Oryzias latipes: one gene and its partner. The protein of the gene in region 1 interacts with the protein of each later gene in a pairwise test. Links are inferred from orthologs where the notes say so. Each region holds a gene or a part of one and is shown on either strand. Other genes may lie near its edges.

Evidence for each region.
Region 2: the proteins of spg21 (region 1) and atpaf2 interact in binary tests that used the Homo sapiens proteins (3 or more experiments, as listed by UniProt). The two-hybrid records come from large-scale screens. The link is inferred for Oryzias latipes from reciprocal best matches to the Homo sapiens genes SPG21 and ATPAF2.

What each region holds. Positions count from the first base shown.
Region 1 is NC_019861.2:37,280,162-37,285,357, reverse strand, and holds the start of spg21 (maspardin), read left to right. Parts: upstream 1-2,030; 5' UTR 2,031-2,164; intron 2,165-2,330; coding exon 2,331-2,393; intron 2,394-5,196. Other genes in the region: AP-2 complex subunit alpha-2, read left to right, coding at 85-219, 290-367. UniProt on the Homo sapiens protein: May play a role as a negative regulatory factor in CD4-dependent T-cell activation.
Region 2 is NC_019877.2:3,256,149-3,261,445, forward strand, and holds the start of atpaf2 (ATP synthase mitochondrial F1 complex assembly factor 2), read left to right. Parts: upstream 1-1,680; 5' UTR 1,681-1,924; coding exon 1,925-2,048; intron 2,049-2,134; coding exon 2,135-2,179; intron 2,180-2,276; coding exon 2,277-2,425; intron 2,426-2,506; coding exon 2,507-2,604; intron 2,605-4,059; coding exon 4,060-4,140; intron 4,141-4,263; coding exon 4,264-4,376; intron 4,377-4,491; coding exon 4,492-4,607; intron 4,608-4,852; coding exon 4,853-4,990; 3' UTR 4,991-5,297. Other genes in the region: gid4 (glucose-induced degradation protein 4 homolog), read right to left, coding at 29-130, 222-329, 680-739, 1,125-1,316. UniProt on the Homo sapiens protein: Plays a role in the assembly of the F1 component of the mitochondrial ATP synthase (ATPase).

The sequences.
Region 1 (5,196 bases):
TGGCCCTGCAGAGGTCTGTGGGTCTGTGGGACAGTCAGTAGCGCTGCACAAACGTCTGACCCGCTTCCTGTGCGAATCCTGCAGCTCCTGGGGTTCGGCGTGGCGCTGCTGGAGGGCGTGGATCCAAACCCCGCCAACTTCGTGGGAGCCGGGATCATTCACAGCAAGAGCGCTCAGGTGGGCTGCCTGCTCCGGCTGGAGCCCAACACGCACGCGCAGGTAAGACGGCCTCCACTCTGACCTTTGACCTCCCCGGGGTGGCCATGCTTATGCGTGACTGTGTCCCCAGATGTACCGCCTCACCCTCCGGACCAGCAGGGACTCCGTCTCCCAGAGGCTCTGCCAGCTGCTGTCAGAACAGTTCTAGGCTCCGTGCCGCTGTCGCCGCTCTGCTCGCCGTGTTCCAGTCTGGAGAAGATTTGCTCCGCCGTGGAGTCGCCGTTTTTACCTGCTTGACATGGAAGCAAAGGTGTTTCTGCACTGATGTGTCACAGCGTTAAATGTGTGTGTTTGTGTGTGTTTTCACACTGAGCACCTTAGAAAACTTCCAGCTTTTTCAAACTTCCACATCGGCTTAGCAGCTGAAGGACTAACGGACGGAAACGTTCATCCAAATGTGCATTTATACCTTTAGGGAAAAGTAGAAATACACGACTTGTGTATTTCTACATCTGTTGGTACTTTTTTTTTTTACTTTAAATTGTGTGATGTGGGCGGGGCTTTTCATATTCTGAGCAGGGATTGGTTAGTGGGATTTTCTGCTCTCTGTGATTCTGTACGTTTGATACTTTCCAGGAGACTCAAACGTGTTCTAGACTAACCACAGTGGGTCTGGGCTCTGGCCCCGCCCCCTCACTAAGGTTTTGACCTTTGGACATTGGTGAATGAGTTCAAATGCGTCCATCCTTCAGACCTTCAGCAGTGCAGAACGCTGCTGCACAGGACCGTTCTGCATGTGTCGGATGGGAGATTCCAACGTCTTAAAGCACTTCTTCTGTCTTCTGGAGCTTTCACTGCCAAAACGTTTGTCATTGAGACGCTGATGTGCCTGGAAGAGAATCTGATGCAGCTTCTTCCCTTAATGTGTCCTTAAGTCTGTTTGGGGCTCCAGGACTTCCCTCAACTTTATAAAGTTTGGTAAAAAAATCATTTCTACTGTTGTCTTTTTGTGGTTTTCCTCCTTTTTATCTTCATTATCAAACGTTTGTTAAACAGCTAAACAGTTTAGGGTAAATAAATTCACTTTGGGGTTACGCTCATGTTTCACAAGCTTTAAAGCTGCCTTTAAGTTCCAAATGGGAAGAAAACATTTCCAATAAACTGACCTTCACAGTGGGGACGACCTGAGGAAGCAGTTTAAACCTTCCATAACTGATCTTCTCTGCGTCACGTCAGACACACTTGGAGGTGGTTAAACGATTTCAGATGAAGCTTTTAAAGAAACAGCTGGAGAACCGATGGGGGCCAAAGTCTGAACGACACACCAACACCGCTCTGGGAAACGGAACCAATCTACACATCTTGTCATTTCAGTTTCCTGTCCAGGTTAAACCACAAAAAAATGAGAACAGACAGGATTTCAATGAAAGACTGATCCACACTGAAGATGTAAATTATTCCATTTTACTTGTATGAATTGTAATTTCAGAACAATTTACGAACAAAAACGCATTTCATTCAAGAATTAAGTTTGTTTTAGAAAGTTTTTCATCCAAATATTTTGATGACTGAAGTTAAAATTATGAGAAGAATTACCTTGAGGTTTGACCGATGCGTTTGAGAAAAACGGGGATTCGGAGATTCGTTGGGTTTTGTGTGGAAAGAATCTCGAGTCTGTAATGTCTTCTTACATTTCTATTGATTCCATATTCAGACAAACATTGAATACATTTGAGTGCTACATTGTATAGGATGAAAACTGTAACGACAACAGAAATTAAGCAAGACTTAAGAAACCAAAGCGGCTTTCTTACTGCCGGAGAACAGGATTTTCAGAGCGACCGCGAACGCAGCACCGGAGAGGCTACTTGCGGAAGTGTGTGAAAGGAAAATCACATGACCGAGCTGCAGCCGCTCCAAGCGCTACCCGACATGGACAAACGTCTCCGGACACGGTGACCCTTCACCGAGCAGCGGCGTGGGCTCTGACACGGTGACGTCCACGGTGAGTGGGGCTGGCGGGGCGGTCGGTTTCTACGCCGTTAACGGGGTTACCGCGGGGTTCGTTTAGCAGCTAGCCGCTATTATGGCTAACAGCTGCCCCCGCGCGGAAGCAGCTGAGCCCGGACACCCCCGCACACACACTTGAGTCACCGTCTCTGTGTCCGCAGATGGAGGAGATCAAGGTGTCTCCAGACTACAACTGGTTCCGAAGCACCGTGCCACTTAAGAGGGTAAGTTCCCGCCTCGTCACGCGCCTCACTCCGGAGCAGCTGGACCGTCGCCGATGCGATGAGGGCTAACGCTCGCGCGCGTTGAAATTCTTATGAAACACCTGCTCTCGTGGTCACGTGATACAAAAGCACCCCAGGTGTGAAGGGGTCCATTCCGTGACGGGTCATCGGGATTCTGTCCTGCTGGATCAACCTTCAGGTTCTGATGAGCCGAACCTGTTCAGAACCGAGCTTCAGGACAAACACAGCTGAACTCCTTAAACCCAGAGAGGTTATTTTTCTGAAACTACATGCACACCGTTCAGACCAGGTGTTCACACTGCGCCTGCAGGGAGGGGCTTCTTCTTCTTCTTCTTCTGTTTACTAGCCTCAACCTACAGTCGGAGGAGGCTTGCTGTGAAATGTCCTCCAGACTTTTGTGACTGACTCTGTCGTAGAATTCGGTTGGTTCTGTAAATGAACCCTTTAATCGCCGTGGCTTTAGCGCCCGTGTTCTTTACCGTACCTGGTTTTAAAGCCCTCCTATTCAAAGGTTGAGGATTACTTTATATGGAAATGAGGGCGTGGTCTTTAAGCTGACAGGTGGTGGTAGTATCATGGTCTCTAAAGCACACGTTAGCTTGTCACGCTGTCTAAGAAACGTTTTACAAATGTTATGCACTAATACTTGATCTTGTGACCTGCTTCCCTTCTGTTCAATAAAATCACCATGAAAACAGTTGACAAACAACAAAATAAGACCAAGAACGCACTGCTTAGACCACGCCCCTTCGCCATTACGTGTTTTCATTTTGTCCCTTCTGTCTCACCTGTTTCCTGTATTCACTTTTTAAACTGGTTTATGGTTTTTCTGGAGAACCACAGTTTGGAAAAATGAAGCTCCGCTCAAACAGATGTTTGATAAAATCATAAAGTTTTTATGATTTTGCTCAAATGTTGTCTTTTTTCAAATTTTATTTACATTCAGATTGTTGTAAACATTGTTTTTGTGGTTAGTGAATATAGTAGGAAGACTCTGCATCTCATTCCACAGCAGAAAAAAAAGGTTTTACCTTGGAAAAAGGAAGCTTGGAGCCTGACAGCTGTGTTTCTATTTTAGTCTAAGAAAATATCACAACGTTTTCTGCTAAAGATGTTTAATTTAAACCTCACAAATCCCCTCATGAGTGTCAGGCGTCTCTGCATTTAGTTTGTTAGGTTTTTTTCAAGATTTGTGGTCAATTATTGCTTAAACAATCGTTCTGATTGCTTTAGTTCATGACTTTTGTGTTGAGTTCTGCGTGAAAATGAGAAATCTGAGGCTGGATTTCAGCGGCACGGATCGCCCTCTTGGATTAAGATGAGATTAGCTTTCAGAAAACGGGTTTGGTCCTCGGATCTGCTGTTTGGTGGAACAACGGCTCGCGTTGTCTTTTGGAATAAGACGATTATTCCCGTCGGGTTTTTAGCTCACAGATCTCTTAAAAATGGGGATTTGTTTGGCGTTGGAGCCGACACCCGGCTGGTTCCCGCAGCTGGAGGTTGAGCCGCTGCTGCTGAGGCTCTGAGAGGTGGAGAGTCATGTGACGGCGTTCATCACCCAGCCGTCACATGCTTCCCTCAGCTTCACACGGGCATCACATGTGCTGCTTTTACTGGCACGAATCCACTCGTTTTCCCTCTGCTCACTCATGCACTTCAGGAGAGATGCATTCTGGGACAGAGAGGTTGAGTGACTGATGCAGGTCAGCTTCTGGCAGCACGGCTTAAAACCCCCCAGACAAGTTTGATCTGAAGGATTTAAGATTTTCAGAAAAACCTCTCTGCAGATTCTTTTGTTACCACTGACTGTATACCGGAACTGGACGGAGGGGCCCCTCCCCTTTGCTACAAACAGGAAGTATCTGCAAATCAACAGCTGTCATTCTGTTGGTCAGAAGAACCGTTCTGGATCGGATACCTTTTTGTTTTTAAACATCTACTTGATAAAACTCTTTTTTTTTCCTGTATCTCAAGTTAGTCAAGTCATTAACTGGCCAATCAGACGCCTCAATAAAAGTAGGCGGAGCCTGTTGACCCCCTTGTCCAGTGTTCAAAACGTTTACAGCTTTCCAGTGGTAGGGGCGTGGCCTTCCAACAAGCTCACTCCTGATTGGTGGGAGGGGCTGCCATAGAACAAAGCGTCAATGCTAACATTTTAGCTGTTAGCACATGAATTCTTCAACTGGATGCTATTTGTTCTGGTTTTGCTTTTTAAGATGCAGAATTTTCTTTTTCTTTTTTTAGTTGGTGTTTTTCAGCCTTTGGCTCCGGTTGATCATTTTGGTTGAACTCGGCCTTTTGAGTTCTTCTTGTGGTCGCGGTTCACTTCTGACGTTTGTGCTGCTGATCGTTTAGTGTTCTGCTTCCTGATTGGCTGTCGTCAGTCCGTCTCCTGAACAGAACCCATCAGATGGTTGTTCTCCTGCTATCGTCTCATGTTTCTCCAAAGGTCTGACCTGTCAGAGTGAAACGTCTAGAAAGTCTTCAGTCAGGAGTTTTCTGCCTTCAAACATCTAGACTCTAACGCCGCCATTTTCATCCATCGCAGGTTATTTTTTACAACAGAACCCGTGTGATGAACAAACAACCGAACCCTTTATGGACCGTCATGACGCTGTTGTATTTTCGTAGTATTTAGAGATTCATTTGTATTTGCTTTTTTTTGGCCTTGTTTGGCATGTTTCTGCTTCTCGCTGCACTTTTCACATTTTTCCTCTTTTGTTAAACTTTTGTGATTTTAGATTTTAGCATTTCTTTCTTTGGAGCGTTCTCTTCTGGTTCC
Region 2 (5,297 bases), on another chromosome or scaffold:
GTTCACTAGCAAACAGGTCGAGGCTTACCTTCCACCTCATAAAAATATAGTCCGAGTTCTTTAGATCCTCGTAGTCGAACTCGTCAGAGTTAAAAGTCTTCGCATACCGGTAGAAAGCCTGGAACTTGCCCTTGGTGCCAAAAGAGAGCGCATATAAAGTTACGGCGAGACGGCCACGTCGCCGCGGACGCCGAGCGTGGAAAAAGTGTCGTCTTACTTACCCAGTGCTTACGATCCACGTCCTCGTCTGCATCCCACTTTCGGGTGAGGAACGGCCTCTTCCTGCTGATGATCTCCCCGGCGAAAAAAGTGGTCAGGGTCGGATATTCCTACGAAAATGTGCAACTGGATTATACCAACAATCTTGTTTTGTAAACTTTACAGCGTTAAGGCTAGGTTATCGCTATGTATAAATCATTAATAGAAAATTAAGACGTTTAAAAATATTCTAAGCAAATCGATCCCTTAATTAAAAATATCTGCACTTCAGAGGCAGAACAAAACAAAAAACTATGTAGAATTATTTGGCTCACGATCAGTTGGACTAATATTTAGTCATTGCAAGAAAAATTACACAAAAGGTGGAGGAAAAACTTGCAAAAACATTTAAAATTCTAAGTCCAGTTCATCCACATGTACATATTCCAACATGAATCCTCTAAATATGAACAGAACTGACCTCTGTGAGTCCTTTTATTTTCAAATAGCCACACAAGTAGGAATCCTCCATTGTGACATGCTGTAACAAATAATAAACAGAACTTTTAGGTCAAATCTCCACTGAATTTATGTTAAAAAAAATAACAAAAACAAAACTTGACGGTCAGAAGCTGCAGTTTCTCAAAAAATGTCAACAGCCCCTAATGTTGCAACATTTAAGCTAGTTGTGATAGTTTGTGTTAATTTAAACTGGTAGAAAATTGTGCAGCTGGTTGTTGTTAGTCGGTGTTGTTTGGGCGCAGTTGCTCTGCTACTCCCACCACTACACCCACAGTTGGTCCAGGACAGGCCGGGACCCCCTTTTTTTTTCAGCTGTCACTCTTCCAGCCGCCACTTTGACACATCACCCGAAAGCCTCGCGCTCGCAGTACGAAAAGCAACATTTCCGCCTCGGTGCCCCCCACCTGTAAGACCACCTCAACGTCGTAGGAGTTCCCTTTGCTTTTCTGGTGGCCTCTGAACTTGGAGCCGCTGTACAGCAGCGACGTGACAACACCGGGCTGGTGAGTGTTTATCGGCGGCAGCGGGATAAGCGAGGCCGAGGATGCAAAGGCCGCGGCCGGGAACTCGCTGAGATATCCAGCGGGGACAGGCATAGCTCCAGCTTCGCAGGCTGAACTCCAACCGCGGTCAACGGCCGTGCGGCAGCGGGACTCGGTCAACCTGTACGACCAGCCAGAAAGAAAGTCCCGAGGAGGTCCTCAAACATTCAAATTGCTCTTAATTGCGCCACAGTTCAGTTTGCGAAGCATCAAGCTCCCCAGAACTAAAAGTGGACTTCGAAGCTGCGCTGTAACCAGTAGCAACGGCTTATCTCATTGGTCCAACAACTTCACCCTCGAAGATCGTCGACGCTCATTGGCTGAGCAGGCGGAAGAGTATTCGTGAACATTTTTGATGTAGTTTTTAAGTGATGTGTAAGCGTTAGCAGTGCCAAAAATAAACTACATTTCCCAAAGCATGCAATGAAAACATTTTGTAGCTTTGTAGCATCGAAGGTCACACGCGTGGTTTTGAACCGATGTGTTACTGTAAGCTAGATGAAAACCTTAATGTTTAACAACAGATTTATTGTAGAGTCAGGTTCATTATACACTCAAGATCTGTTTGTTCAATGTGGTACTTTAGTGCGTGAGAGACCGGCTTAAGAAATCGCTAGTGAATCGTCTTTTTTATTGTAAACAGTATACGTCCAAATTTAGGTATGAATATGTTTAGACGTGTTTTTCAACTTCGAAATTCCTTTGGAAATGTAATTTCAGTTTGCAAGTCGTGTCCCAGTCATCAGTACTCCAAGTGTTTGTCAAAATACTCCACTGCATCTACAGGTAAACGTGTTTATTTTGACATTACTATTATTAATTATCAATATGCTGTGTGCTAATCATGTGCTACATGTTTTGCTATTTGACAGAGAGGAAGAGATTTTATCAAGATGTCAGCATATCTCAAGGAGATGGTGAGTCTTATTTAAAATTTAAAATAATTTTATTTATTGTTCCAGGGAAGACCAAGATTGATTATATTCTCTAATTTTGTGACGATTTTGTCCATAGATGGTTTGTATGAAATAAATCTGGATAGAAGGAAACTCAAAACTCCAGGAGGGAAGCTGTTCACAGTACCAAATGAAGCCCTGGCTATCGCCGTGGCAACAGAGTGGGATGCTCAGAGGGGGACACTCAAGTTTTATACCATGCACCTTGTATGGGATATTTTTTCTGACCTATTTACACCACAGTGTGTAGCCAGCCGTACTCATATGCCGGTTGAACTTTTCTTGCAGACCACTTTGTGCAACACGGCTCTGGACAACCCCACCCAACGCAACAAGGAGCAAATGATCAATTCAGCGTTGAAGTTTTTGGAGACTGACACGATCTGGTATGGATTTAGCTTTTATACTGTTTCTGTCCAGAGTTGATGATTATTTGGCTCATTTATGCCGGTTACTCAGTTTAAAAGATAAAACACCTGTATTTCAAATCAATATTTTACTTGAATGGAGAAAAAATGTTCTTAATCTAGAGAGAAAAGCAACAAGGACTTCAAAATAAAAGCACCTAACAGAAATACCAAAACAATAGAAAATTCAAAATTAGGTTTGTTTAGATAAAAAGTACCCAAACAAATCCTGGACTTGTGAGATGCAACTACATCTAATATGTTTTTTTTTTTTTCTATTTCTCTTTGTAAAAAATAAAACGTTATCTGCCATTCTGTGCTCTTTTTTTGCAATTTTTTTTGCAAATAATAGTCAAAATGCAATTACTTTTTAGCTTTTTGAAAATGTTCGAACCTATTAATATAATTTAGACTTTTTTTTTCATTATTATAAATTATACTTGTATAATGAGATATATTGTTTAACTGTCAACTATGTATTAGATAATCCCTTTAGTTCTTTAAATTTATATATTACATATTTATTTATTTCCCTTGTCTTTTTAACTTTTTACACATATTTAAAAAAAACTTATTATCTTATTCAGAATTTAATTTAAACATTTTATTGTGGTCCTGAAATATTCAACTTCTTTACACTTGTCTGCTTAATTGTTTTATGGATACCTTAGTAGTTTTAGCAAACAGATTTGCATCAGTCTTTTATTTACAATTATTATGTTTTAGCTACTTTATTGTGTAGGTGTGAATTTGTAATACATTTATTGGCACTATATATCTTTTTACATTTTCTATTTACTTTAGCATATTAGCTTAGGATTTAGCAACGTTCACTTTCTTAATTTCTTTAGCTAATTAACAATTTTATTTTACTGTTTTTTTGTGTTGATCCTTTTGTTATTGTGATTATTATTAATAATTATGCAGTGTATTTTTAGTTATCTCCCTTTATTTGACTAATGTAGCATTTTGCACTAAACTGTAATGCCACTGTAAAAGAAAGCAGATGTTTTTAGCTTATTGCAGAAAACTAGCATTTTTGTTTATGGAAATAAAATAAAAGAAATGAATTTTGGAACTTCTATGAATTTCATATACTAGATATTTGCAGGAGAAACTTTTTTTTCTCGGTCCATTGTCAGATGATTCCAGACTCCAAAGCATTAAAAATAAAGAATTACTGTGAAAATGAATGCAACAAACTTTTTCTTTGACCTAATTTCTTTAATAGGACCATCATTGTCTGGCCAGTAAAGTGAAAGCAAGGTCTGTTTTGTTTTCACCGGAGATGGTTGCCATATACCTGACTGTGGAGCAGGCTGTGCTGCTCTCTTATAGCATCTGCCATTTGGCTGCCTCTTTTTTTTAAGTTTCATTTTCAGATTAAGTTACCTTGTTGTCACAAAACAGTGATTTATTTATGCTTTGATTCAGTTACAGAGTGGAGGATCCTCCTGGTTTAGTGGACCTACAGAAGAACGAGTGGGATCCGGTTCTGCACTGGATTGAAAACCGGTAAAAAAAATAAAACAAAAGCATTAATCTTCACATCTTGTGCAGTAGACTTCCAAATGATGTAGGAACTGTCTCAGTAAACCATACATTATTATGCATTTTCTCTGTACTATTGCATGGCAGATACAATGTCACTATTGGATCTTCATCGAGCATTCTGGGTCCTGAAATTCCACAGGCAACCAAGGAAACTTTTCGACAGCATCTCAATTCTTACAGCCTCTGGTCCCTGACGGGTAAGACATCTCAACTCCAGAAAACGTGATCATCTATAGATCTCAACTTGTGCAGGCTGAGATGATGTATTTATTGTTTTTGAAATGTTTAAGAATTGTGTCTGTTTCTTTGCAGGACTTGAGTTTGTGATCTCGCAGCTGAAGTCTATTTTGCTTTCACTGGGGATGGTTGACCGATACCTGACAGTGGAGCAGGCGGTGCTGCTCTCCAGACTGGAGGAAGAATACCAGGTGGGAAAAGTCCATTTGATTTACCATCAATCTTTTATAATATTTACTATACTAAGACTTTTTTGTTTGATTTTTGTCTGTTTTAAGAAACAGATATTATTCTATTAATACAATGATATCTAACTATGTAGTGGGAAAAAAAAACCCCATTGTAACTAGGTTTATTTTATATCAAATTTGTTTTTTGAATATCTGTTGTTTAATGCTCTTTTCTTGAGTTCAGAACTCTGTTTTTCTTATTGCAGATAAGTCACTGGGGAAACGTAGAATGGGCTCATGACTACGACATGTATGAGCTCAGGGCGCGGACTGCTGCTGGAGCTCTTTTCATTCAGCTTTCATCTGAGAATTTAACCGTCAAACACAAAATTATGCAAGACTAATTACTCTTTTTATTTGGCCAAATCAAAAACACACACACTGCAATCCACCCAAACAAGGAATTCAGTCTTTTTCAGACTAATATCTTGACAACCAGTCGCACCGTCTTATTCTGAAAAACCCTTTATTTTGTTTAAGTGCTGGTTCTAAATAACCTGTAAAACTTTGGACCCTAGCATGCAGTTACAAGGGTGGACCCAGTGCTTTTACTTTGTAATTTCAAGCCATCTTTTCATGTTACCTGTATTTAAATTCTGATGCATGCAAAGCTTGTCTTACTGTTTTTTGTTGTTTTTTTTGGTACAGGTT